Daphnia pulex: one gene and its partner. The protein of the gene in region 1 binds, or shares a complex with, the protein of each later gene. Links are inferred from orthologs where the notes say so. Each region holds a gene or a part of one and is shown in the gene's direction. Other genes may lie near its edges.

Region 1 (4,226 bases):
CTTCAAGCAGAGAATCAGTTGTTTATATTAAGTCGAACAAATTTACTACCAGAAAATATGAGTACAAAGAAAACTGTTGAAAAAATAAAAAAATAAATATTACCTAATATCACCTCTAATTACACTGCAAAACAGCACTCAAACAAAAGATTTCCGGAAAACAAAGACTGGTGTGATTCCGCAACTCATAATAAGGTACGCACGCCTCCAGAAGAACAAATAACGCTAACAATGAATCCACAACTCAACAGGGCCAGAACGCCAGATTTGCATTAGCTATGAATCGCGACTATAGCGGCATCGCAGGATTCGCAGCCAGTCGCAACTCGCAAATGTCGCAATGCATACTTCCCACTTTATGTAGAATTTAGTGAAAAATCAAATCGGGCACTCTGTAAATGTTCTAATTAATACAGTTTTTTTTTTAGTTGACAATAATAATAATCCTTGAAAATCCAAGAACATTTTCTTCTATTTTCTGTCTGTTTTCGCCAACATGCCTTCTGGTATTGTTTTGCTTTAAAAAAATACTCGTATTCGTACTTCTTTTGTCTTACTTGATTGGCCGTGGCCGGGGCTCAAGGCAAAAAAATAAGTTCGGAAGACGGATGGGTGAAAAGAAAAACAAAAAAGGGGCAACAAACAAATGCACGCGCGAGAGAAGAAACAAAAAAAAATGTTTCCCCCTTAGAAATCTCATAGTATCATATACTATATACAAGTCAATTACACACGCATTGCAATGCCATAAAATCTAAAGATTTATTATTTCATTTTTTCGAATTCGCATAGTATGTAAACTGAATAATACTCTGTTTCTTTATTCTGACATTCCTTATTGTACAGGAAATGGGGCACTCATCAGTCATCAACGCTTTTCTCACTTAATCCAAACAAGATTTTATGGGCTTCTTCGAACACGGACTAAGCTAATCCTCAAACTGCCACTGAGGCATTATTCGAAAAAGGGCTAAGTTTATTTATGTAAAATAACTTTCGATTGTTTGATAATTGTCCACAGAATTGCAGTTCATGCTGACGTAATATGGGAATCAGATACACATTACTGTAGAAAAAAAATTTCGTTGTTTTATTAGAAGATTGAAAATGCGATGATTGTAAAGAAATAAACCAAAGGATTACACGGACGGACCGGGACAGACAACACGGTTACCCAAAATGTAAGCGCTATCGTTCGCTAATCGCTCGATGTTTTTCTGAAATATTATCCCTGCAGTTCATACTTGTTTTTTGCTTGTTATTAAAAGCATTTTCGTAACAACATTTTAAAATCATTTTAAGTTGCAACACTTTAAAAATATATGATATTATGATGCCAAGCATCATGCCATATTAGAAATATCATCGTGTGGGGCGTGTGGAGTAAGATCAGAAATTTTCACGACACCTAGCCGCGACATAACGAACTAAGTGTAAAGAGCAATCGCAGGCGTCGCTTTGAATAAGTTCATGGCGGGCTGATCGTACATTTCCTCTTAAATGATGTCGAGTTCTCGAGATGAAGGTATTTATATTTTATCTTACCGTTGTTTAGATCATGACTGTGTTATTTCCGTCAAGTTAAGAATACTAATTTCACACAAAAATAGATCTGATTGCATAAAATTCAAGCTAGGTTGATGCCCTTAGGAAACTATTTTCAAAATGGCGCCTATTACAGGCGGGTTTTTCGATATTCGTTGAAAAATCTTTTTAAACTGGAATAAATTTTGGATTACATTAAACAGATATTAACCTTCCCAATGCTAAGATCACTTAGAAGCTTATTTGATAGTATGATTAAGTACCTACTTGATAGATATTTACCTTACTAATCTTGTTTTCCTTCCCAGTTTCCGCTATGCAAGTCGAAACAGATGACTTCATTCTCTCCCTTACTTCTGTTGGAGAAGAAAATGATGAACATACAGAAGTGATAACAACAGAAGTCTCAGATTTACCTCCTGATTTAGTTAACACTGATGTGGCTGATTTGGTAAGTTATTAAAGCTATCAAAGTTGGTTTCTAAAGACAGTTGTTATTTAGCATTCTTTGACATATTTTTAAATTTCCAACCATATTCTTTTGAAGGCAAACAACCCCAGTCTATGGCTTGGATTAGAAGGAGCATTGGAATCGAATGATGCAGTATCCAACATGTCCAATGTTTCTGGCATAGTAGAGGAACATGTTCAGACAAATGAGTCAGCAGTGCATTTAGGAAATGACCCCAACAACTTGAATATGAATGATCTGGGTCATTCTGAAGAAGTGGAAACTATGACTATTGAAGCTATGGAGGTGGATGTGCAAGTAATATACTCTAAATATTAAACTTTTTTTTTCCTAATTATCTGTTGTTTACATTATTTTAGAACATGGAAGTGAGCAGAAGTCAAGAGGTACACTCAATACCCTTAGAAAGTTTTATGGATCAAAGTGACATGGGAATCAGTATCATGACAAGCCAGTGTGATGATAAAAATGCGCCCTCGATAACGCCAATGTCCGTTTCCTTACCGGTAGTCGAACCAGTGACTAGAACTGTTTTCCCTCTGGGTCAAATCAAGAAAACAATTCCAGTTTCTTCCTCGACTCAGGTTTAATTAATATTTTATTTTTCTTAATTATTTCTTTTATTAATTATTGGTTTTTCAATGAATAGGTTACTAAAGTCGTGCTAGCACCCACAAGCCAAAATCAAACTGGACAGCCATTACTTCTTACAGTTCCAGCATCAACAAGTGGATTAACATCTCTACTAACTCCGAATACAAATTTGCGGTTTGTTAATGCCCTTAGTACAGATGGAAGTAAAATGTCGACCATCGGTACACCCTCTTCAAACATTCATTCACAATCTGTTCGCCTTATGAGCCCGACCAAAACCATCACACTTCAGCAAGCCCAACAGCTTGGACTTATATCGCCTAAAAAGGTAGACAAACGCCTAAAAAACGTATGAAATGGGAACTAATATATATTTTAAAATCAGGGGCAACCTTTAATTGTAAATAAAGTCGCCGTTGCCACGGCAAGTCAAGGAACCCCTACTACCAATATCTTGGCAGGAAAACAAGGAGCTAAATTTGCAGGAGGAAACGTGACGTTGGTAAGAAGCGCCCCCACCAAAACACCAACGAAAATTGCCCCAGCTCCCCCGCAGACAGTTGCATCGAATATTTCATCCAGTTCTTCAATACAAAGCCAACCAACCAGCTTACTGATAAAGAACGCTGCTGGACAAGTAACAATGGCAGCACTGGTCCAAACTAGACCCAACGGTGGTAATGTCACCAACATGAACCCCCTTAGTCCTCAGAAGTTCGTACTGAGACCTTCTGCACCAGGCCCGATCACTGCAGCCCAAGGTAAAATCGCAGATTTGTGTTAAAATGCGAATTTATCTTTTATGTTGCGAATTTTAAAACTGTGGTTTTTGTAATTAATTATTTAATAATCCATTTTTCAAACATATTTTTAGTTCGTCAAGGAAGTGGAACACAACCGGCTCAGTACATAAGATTAACAACAGCTCAAGCTTTAGCTGCCGGAATACTCCCCGCAATCGGAACCCACGGAGAACAGAGTGGTCAACAGCAGCATTTTCAACTTGCCGGGAACAAGGTTGTTTCGATCATCAAAATTGGAATGTGTAAATTAATATGAAATGTATTGGTTTTAGATACAATTAGTTCGCGTTGTTAACCCATCTGCTGGAAACAACGGGTCGGGAAATTTGGTTACTGCATCAGGAACTTCAAAAGTTATAATCGGGGCACCTACTGCAAATTCTATTAAGGTAAAATATTCAACCTGATAATCCTGAAATTATACAGAATTACAATTTTTTGTTTTTATTGTTTTTAAAAAAATTTTAACAGATTCATTCAGCAAACAGTTCGCTGGCACAACAAACAGTTAAGGGAACAACTACTTTAACAAAGGCGGTAGGGCAAGTAAAGGGTGCGATTTCCACTGTTAATGTTCCTCCAGGAGCTCAACGTATTATACTACCTGCTGGATCGATGGGTTCCCTGGCAAGCGGCCTTGTGATGGTTCCAGCTCAGTATACTTCTCAGGTGATTCATCTATCTTGTGTTCGATTTAATAGGTCTAGGAAAGTCGACGAATTTGATTTCTTAGATATCACGTAATTTTATTGATGAAACGTTTATTTTCAATTTATTTTTAGAGTTCAATCGGGGTGAGTGGTTCGCCAGCA
Region 2 (4,310 bases), on another chromosome or scaffold:
AAATATTGCCTAGCATAATTGATGAATTTACGTACATTTCTTAAATGGAATAGCACACACCAAAATACCTTTGTTCCACTGAACTTCTCTAAAAGAGAAACAATATCCTGTAACAATAACAAAACTGTTGACGAAATTTATTTTTACTGAACAAGACATCAACAGACTGTCAACAGACAACCTAATGGATTTTGTGGTTGTCCTAAGTCACAAAAAGCTAATGACTAAATCCGCATAAAATAAAATAAAATTTAGTATTACCAATGCTCATCTTCTCCTGTCCTTAACTTTCTTTCTGAAACAGACACGTGCACATCCAAATTTAGGTGAGGACGATACATATTCATGTCTAACTTCTAATCATTAGCCTAACAGTCAAAATAAAATTTATCGTGAGGCATTACAATTATGGTAAATTATTTCAGTGCTTACCATACATGATGACTACTCATCATATGGTATTTATATCAGTGAGTGACTCACAGAAATGGTTTAGTGCACTATGAAAATCAAGAAACCCATTTTATGGTCATTTTCCTGGGCGTCACAACAAAATCAATGAGTGACTCACAGAAATGGTTTAATACACTACCATGAAAATCAAGCAAACCCATTTTATGGTCATTTTCCTGGGCGTCACAACAAAATTAGTTAGGCAAACAAAATACGTAAGAAAACTCAAAATAATAAATGATATTGCGTTGATTTACCCTTCATGAAGCATTTAGCTATGCGAAACAATTACAATGACAATGATGAATAAGGTAATCCATAGTATAGTCTTTTGCCTAAGAATTGAAACAGGAATGTTGAAATTATGCGTTACTTTAATAATTACAAATTGCAAGCTAACCATGTCAACATGATGACGACGTTCGGTAACTGACTAACTGATAAATCAGACAACAAAAACAAAACAAACAGACAATCGAATTGATGTTGTGGTTGTCCTAAGTCACAAAAAGCTAATGACTAAATCCGCATAAAATTAAATTAAATTTAGTATTACCAAATGAATCGAAACTTACCTATCCGCTGAGATAAATTACTGTAAGTTTACACAAACAGTTTGAAGAAAATCGATGCAGTAGTTTAGATTTCTATAAATTTATTCTGATTCTGAATTAAAGGTTCTGGAAGCCTGGCCCAGAACAGCGTACACTCCCCCCACATCCCTCCCCCTCCTACACACCCAGACACCCGCATTTACTTTAATGCCTTCTGGTAGTACAAGTACTACCCTCAGGGATAAAAATTTGCTGTGATTCGAGAGTGTTAATAGCTATGAGGTATCCAATAACAAATGCAAGCTACAATTTAAAATAGTAATAAAATATTAGAAAAAGGATTTAGATTATTATAATTTAGAAGTAAAAAAATCACTAAATCAGCAAGAAAAATGTAATATTTTATTAATTTTTTTTTTTGGTTTACAATTCGTCAATGCGGCAACGTCCCAAGCTTGACGATTCGAGCGATTCTGAAAGTTGAAAAAACTGCTTGAAAATGGCGGATTTACTTGAAAGTAAGTTATCTTAACTGCAAAACGTAAACAAACAATTAAGCTTTGACGGTTAATTATGTTTTTTCTTTAAACTCAGTTTGAAAATCTTTTGTAGTTTTAATAATTTATTATAAATTTCTGTCTGATACGATTTGGGTTAAGCTCTAGAACGGCTCCTTACTTGTTTATATTGTTACCTCATATTTGCTTAAGTTTGTAATTTCTCATTCAACCAATTGTTATGAAAATTGAGCATTAATAGATTTTCCAAATCAATTGAAGTACATTGTGTTAAGAGTTTTACTTAACTTTAATATTTATATTTGAAATTCTGTATAGCTGAATCTGCAGAAGCTTTACTTTCATTCAAAAATGGAGGATTCAAAGTGAAAAGAGAGCTTGATTTTGGAGATGACTCAGAACAGGCGAATCAAGCAATGACTTTAGGCCCAGAAATGTTTGGATTAAAACGGATCAGTGATGTAAATTCATCCTCTAGTTCAAAAATAACTGGGAGTACCACTTCAAATCCAATCACATTGAACAGAAGAGGCATTGTAAGTGAGACTATTTGGACTTTATTTGATTATATGATGTAATAAATTGTGGAAACTAATTTTTATTTTAGCCAGCAAGAATTCGAAAAAAGAATCCATTGTTCTTTGATGATGATACTATTGTCAACCAATCTACTAATAAATCTCCAAGGAAATCCACAAAATCCAACAGTGGTGTTAGTGGATCATCTCATTCAAACCAGTTAGCACCTCAAGTTACCACTTCAAAAATAATAAAGAGAGGTTAAATAAATTATTTTAAAAAATGTAATCATGATTAACAGTAAATTGTGTTACAGGCCACACAAGATCTGCACCTGGCAGTGCAACTGGTACTCCGGAACGTCGCAGTGGATCAAATGCTTCGACGCCGCTCAAAACTACTAATCGAGTTAAGGCAAAGCTAAAGAAAATGAAGGTTAAGCCAGCTTTTAAGGTAAAATTTTTATATATTAAATATTGCCAATAATTGTATACTATATCATTTGTATTAGTTGCCGGAAAAGCAGAAGAGTGAACCTTTAGTTGTTGGACGTCGTGCTCGGAGTATTGTGGCCGCGGCCGCTTTACCTTCGGTTGCAGCAACAACGGCTGAGCAAGAAGCCGAAGACTTGAAAAAACTTGGTGTCCGCTTACGCAATTTACTTAAGTTACCCAAAGCGCACAAATGGGTCTGCTATGAATGGTTCTACAGTAATCTAGACCAGTACGTTTTTGTGCCATTTATTTTATACCTTGCATGGGGAAAAAGAAATGGTTGTAGTTGTGTGTTTCGTCGATTTCCTTATAATTTGTGAAGCACTCCATTTTGCTGTAACCGTTTTTTTTTTTTAATTATTATTATTTATTTATTTATTTTAGAGCATTGTTTGAAGGCGACAATGACTTTATGCTATGTTTACGAGAGTCATTCCCCAGCTTGAAATTGCGACAGCTTACTAGATCCCAGTGGTGTACCATCCGTCGTCTTATGGGAAGACCAAGACGTTGTTCTCAGGTGCCTAAATTTTTATTCATGCAAATGGCTTGTCCAGTTTCTAACATTTTCTTATCCAATTTTTCCCCCTCTTGATTCATTTTAGGCATTTTTTAATGAAGAAAGAGGAGAATTGGCCAAAAAAAGACAGAAGATTCGTTTAGTTCAACAGCGCAAAGTAAGCGATATGGCATCTCTTTGTAGGGATTTGCCGGATCTTATCCCTATGCCTTTGGTTATCGGCACCAAAGTGACGGCCAGACTTCGGCAACCACAGGTACACTTAAGCACAATACTTCAGCTATTTACTTAAATTGTTATCGATTTTTCGTCAGTCGACGGCAATCTTGTGTGATCATACCAAGATGCCGTTGGTCTAATGAAATGCCGAAGTATTTTCGATTCCCTTAGTATATATGAGATGATTGCCGTAGTTATTCTAAGTGTTTTAAGATAACAGCGCAAGAGTTTGAAGTGGGTATACATAGCTCAATAAAAGAATATGTGGAGTGTGACGTTAAAACTATGACCTAGTGACTATAATTATTTATGATTTAAAAAGAAGGAAAAATAAATACGTAGTAATTATTTATTTTTTTCTTCCCATTAAAGGATGGATTGTTCGTTGGCCAAATCGATGCCGTAGATACGTCCAATAATACATACCGCATCACATTTGATAGACAAGGATTGGGAACACACTCTGTTCCGGATTACGAAGTTTTGGTACGTGTAATGTTCGTCTTGACAACGAAAGACATCTTCAACTAAAAACAAATTTCCTTGTTAGTCGAATGAAACAGTAGACATGATTTCGATATCGAGTTTGGCTCAACGGTTTCGCCCTCGCCCAGCTGTTTTACCACCGACCCCCGCAATAATACCACTGATGGCTTCACAGCAGCAAACACTAACAATCTCGAGTCAACATCAACAGCCCATTAAACAGTCTTCCCTTGAAGTTGCAATGCCTACTTTATCTTTAACTTCACATGTCAGTGGCACACGAATTGGACACACTTCTCATTCTGATTCTTCAAGTTTAGTCAGCGATCCTGTCTTGGGATCGTCTAATTCAAGATTGACACCACAAGAAACGACGTTTGGCTCCTTGCCCATCCACGTTCTGACACCAATCGTAAGTCCTTTGAAAATCTGCGTATTATTGGAAATTTGTAACATATATTTGTTCTATAGGTACGACTCTCGAAGATTTTAAATATGAAAAAAGATAAGGTTAGAAGACTGAGAGATATGAATACAGAAGTTGAAC

The links. Proteins that work in one complex are often made in the same cells at the same time.
Region 2: protein lin-54 homolog (region 1) and protein lin-9 homolog share a complex: the UniProt entries of both Homo sapiens proteins name them as parts of the DREAM complex. The link is inferred for Daphnia pulex from reciprocal best matches to the Homo sapiens genes LIN54 and LIN9.

What each region holds. Positions count from the first base shown.
Region 1 is NC_060026.1:5,748,518-5,752,743, forward strand, and holds the start of protein lin-54 homolog, read left to right. Parts: upstream 1-1,418; 5' UTR 1,419-1,500; coding exon 1,501-1,525; intron 1,526-1,853; coding exon 1,854-1,996; intron 1,997-2,092; coding exon 2,093-2,314; intron 2,315-2,376; coding exon 2,377-2,601; intron 2,602-2,666; coding exon 2,667-2,939; intron 2,940-2,996; coding exon 2,997-3,372; intron 3,373-3,485; coding exon 3,486-3,628; intron 3,629-3,686; coding exon 3,687-3,803; intron 3,804-3,885; coding exon 3,886-4,083; intron 4,084-4,196; coding exon 4,197-4,226. UniProt on the Homo sapiens protein: Component of the DREAM complex, a multiprotein complex that can both act as a transcription activator or repressor depending on the context. In G0 phase, the complex binds to more than 800 promoters and is required for repression of E2F target genes.
Region 2 is NC_060023.1:5,470,574-5,474,883, forward strand, and holds the start of protein lin-9 homolog, read left to right. Parts: upstream 1-1,455; 5' UTR 1,456-1,506; coding exon 1,507-1,525; intron 1,526-1,843; coding exon 1,844-2,061; intron 2,062-2,132; coding exon 2,133-2,304; intron 2,305-2,360; coding exon 2,361-2,497; intron 2,498-2,555; coding exon 2,556-2,767; intron 2,768-2,922; coding exon 2,923-3,058; intron 3,059-3,143; coding exon 3,144-3,314; intron 3,315-3,649; coding exon 3,650-3,763; intron 3,764-3,827; coding exon 3,828-4,175; intron 4,176-4,234; coding exon 4,235-4,310. UniProt on the Homo sapiens protein: Acts as a tumor suppressor. Inhibits DNA synthesis. Its ability to inhibit oncogenic transformation is mediated through its association with RB1. Plays a role in the expression of genes required for the G1/S transition.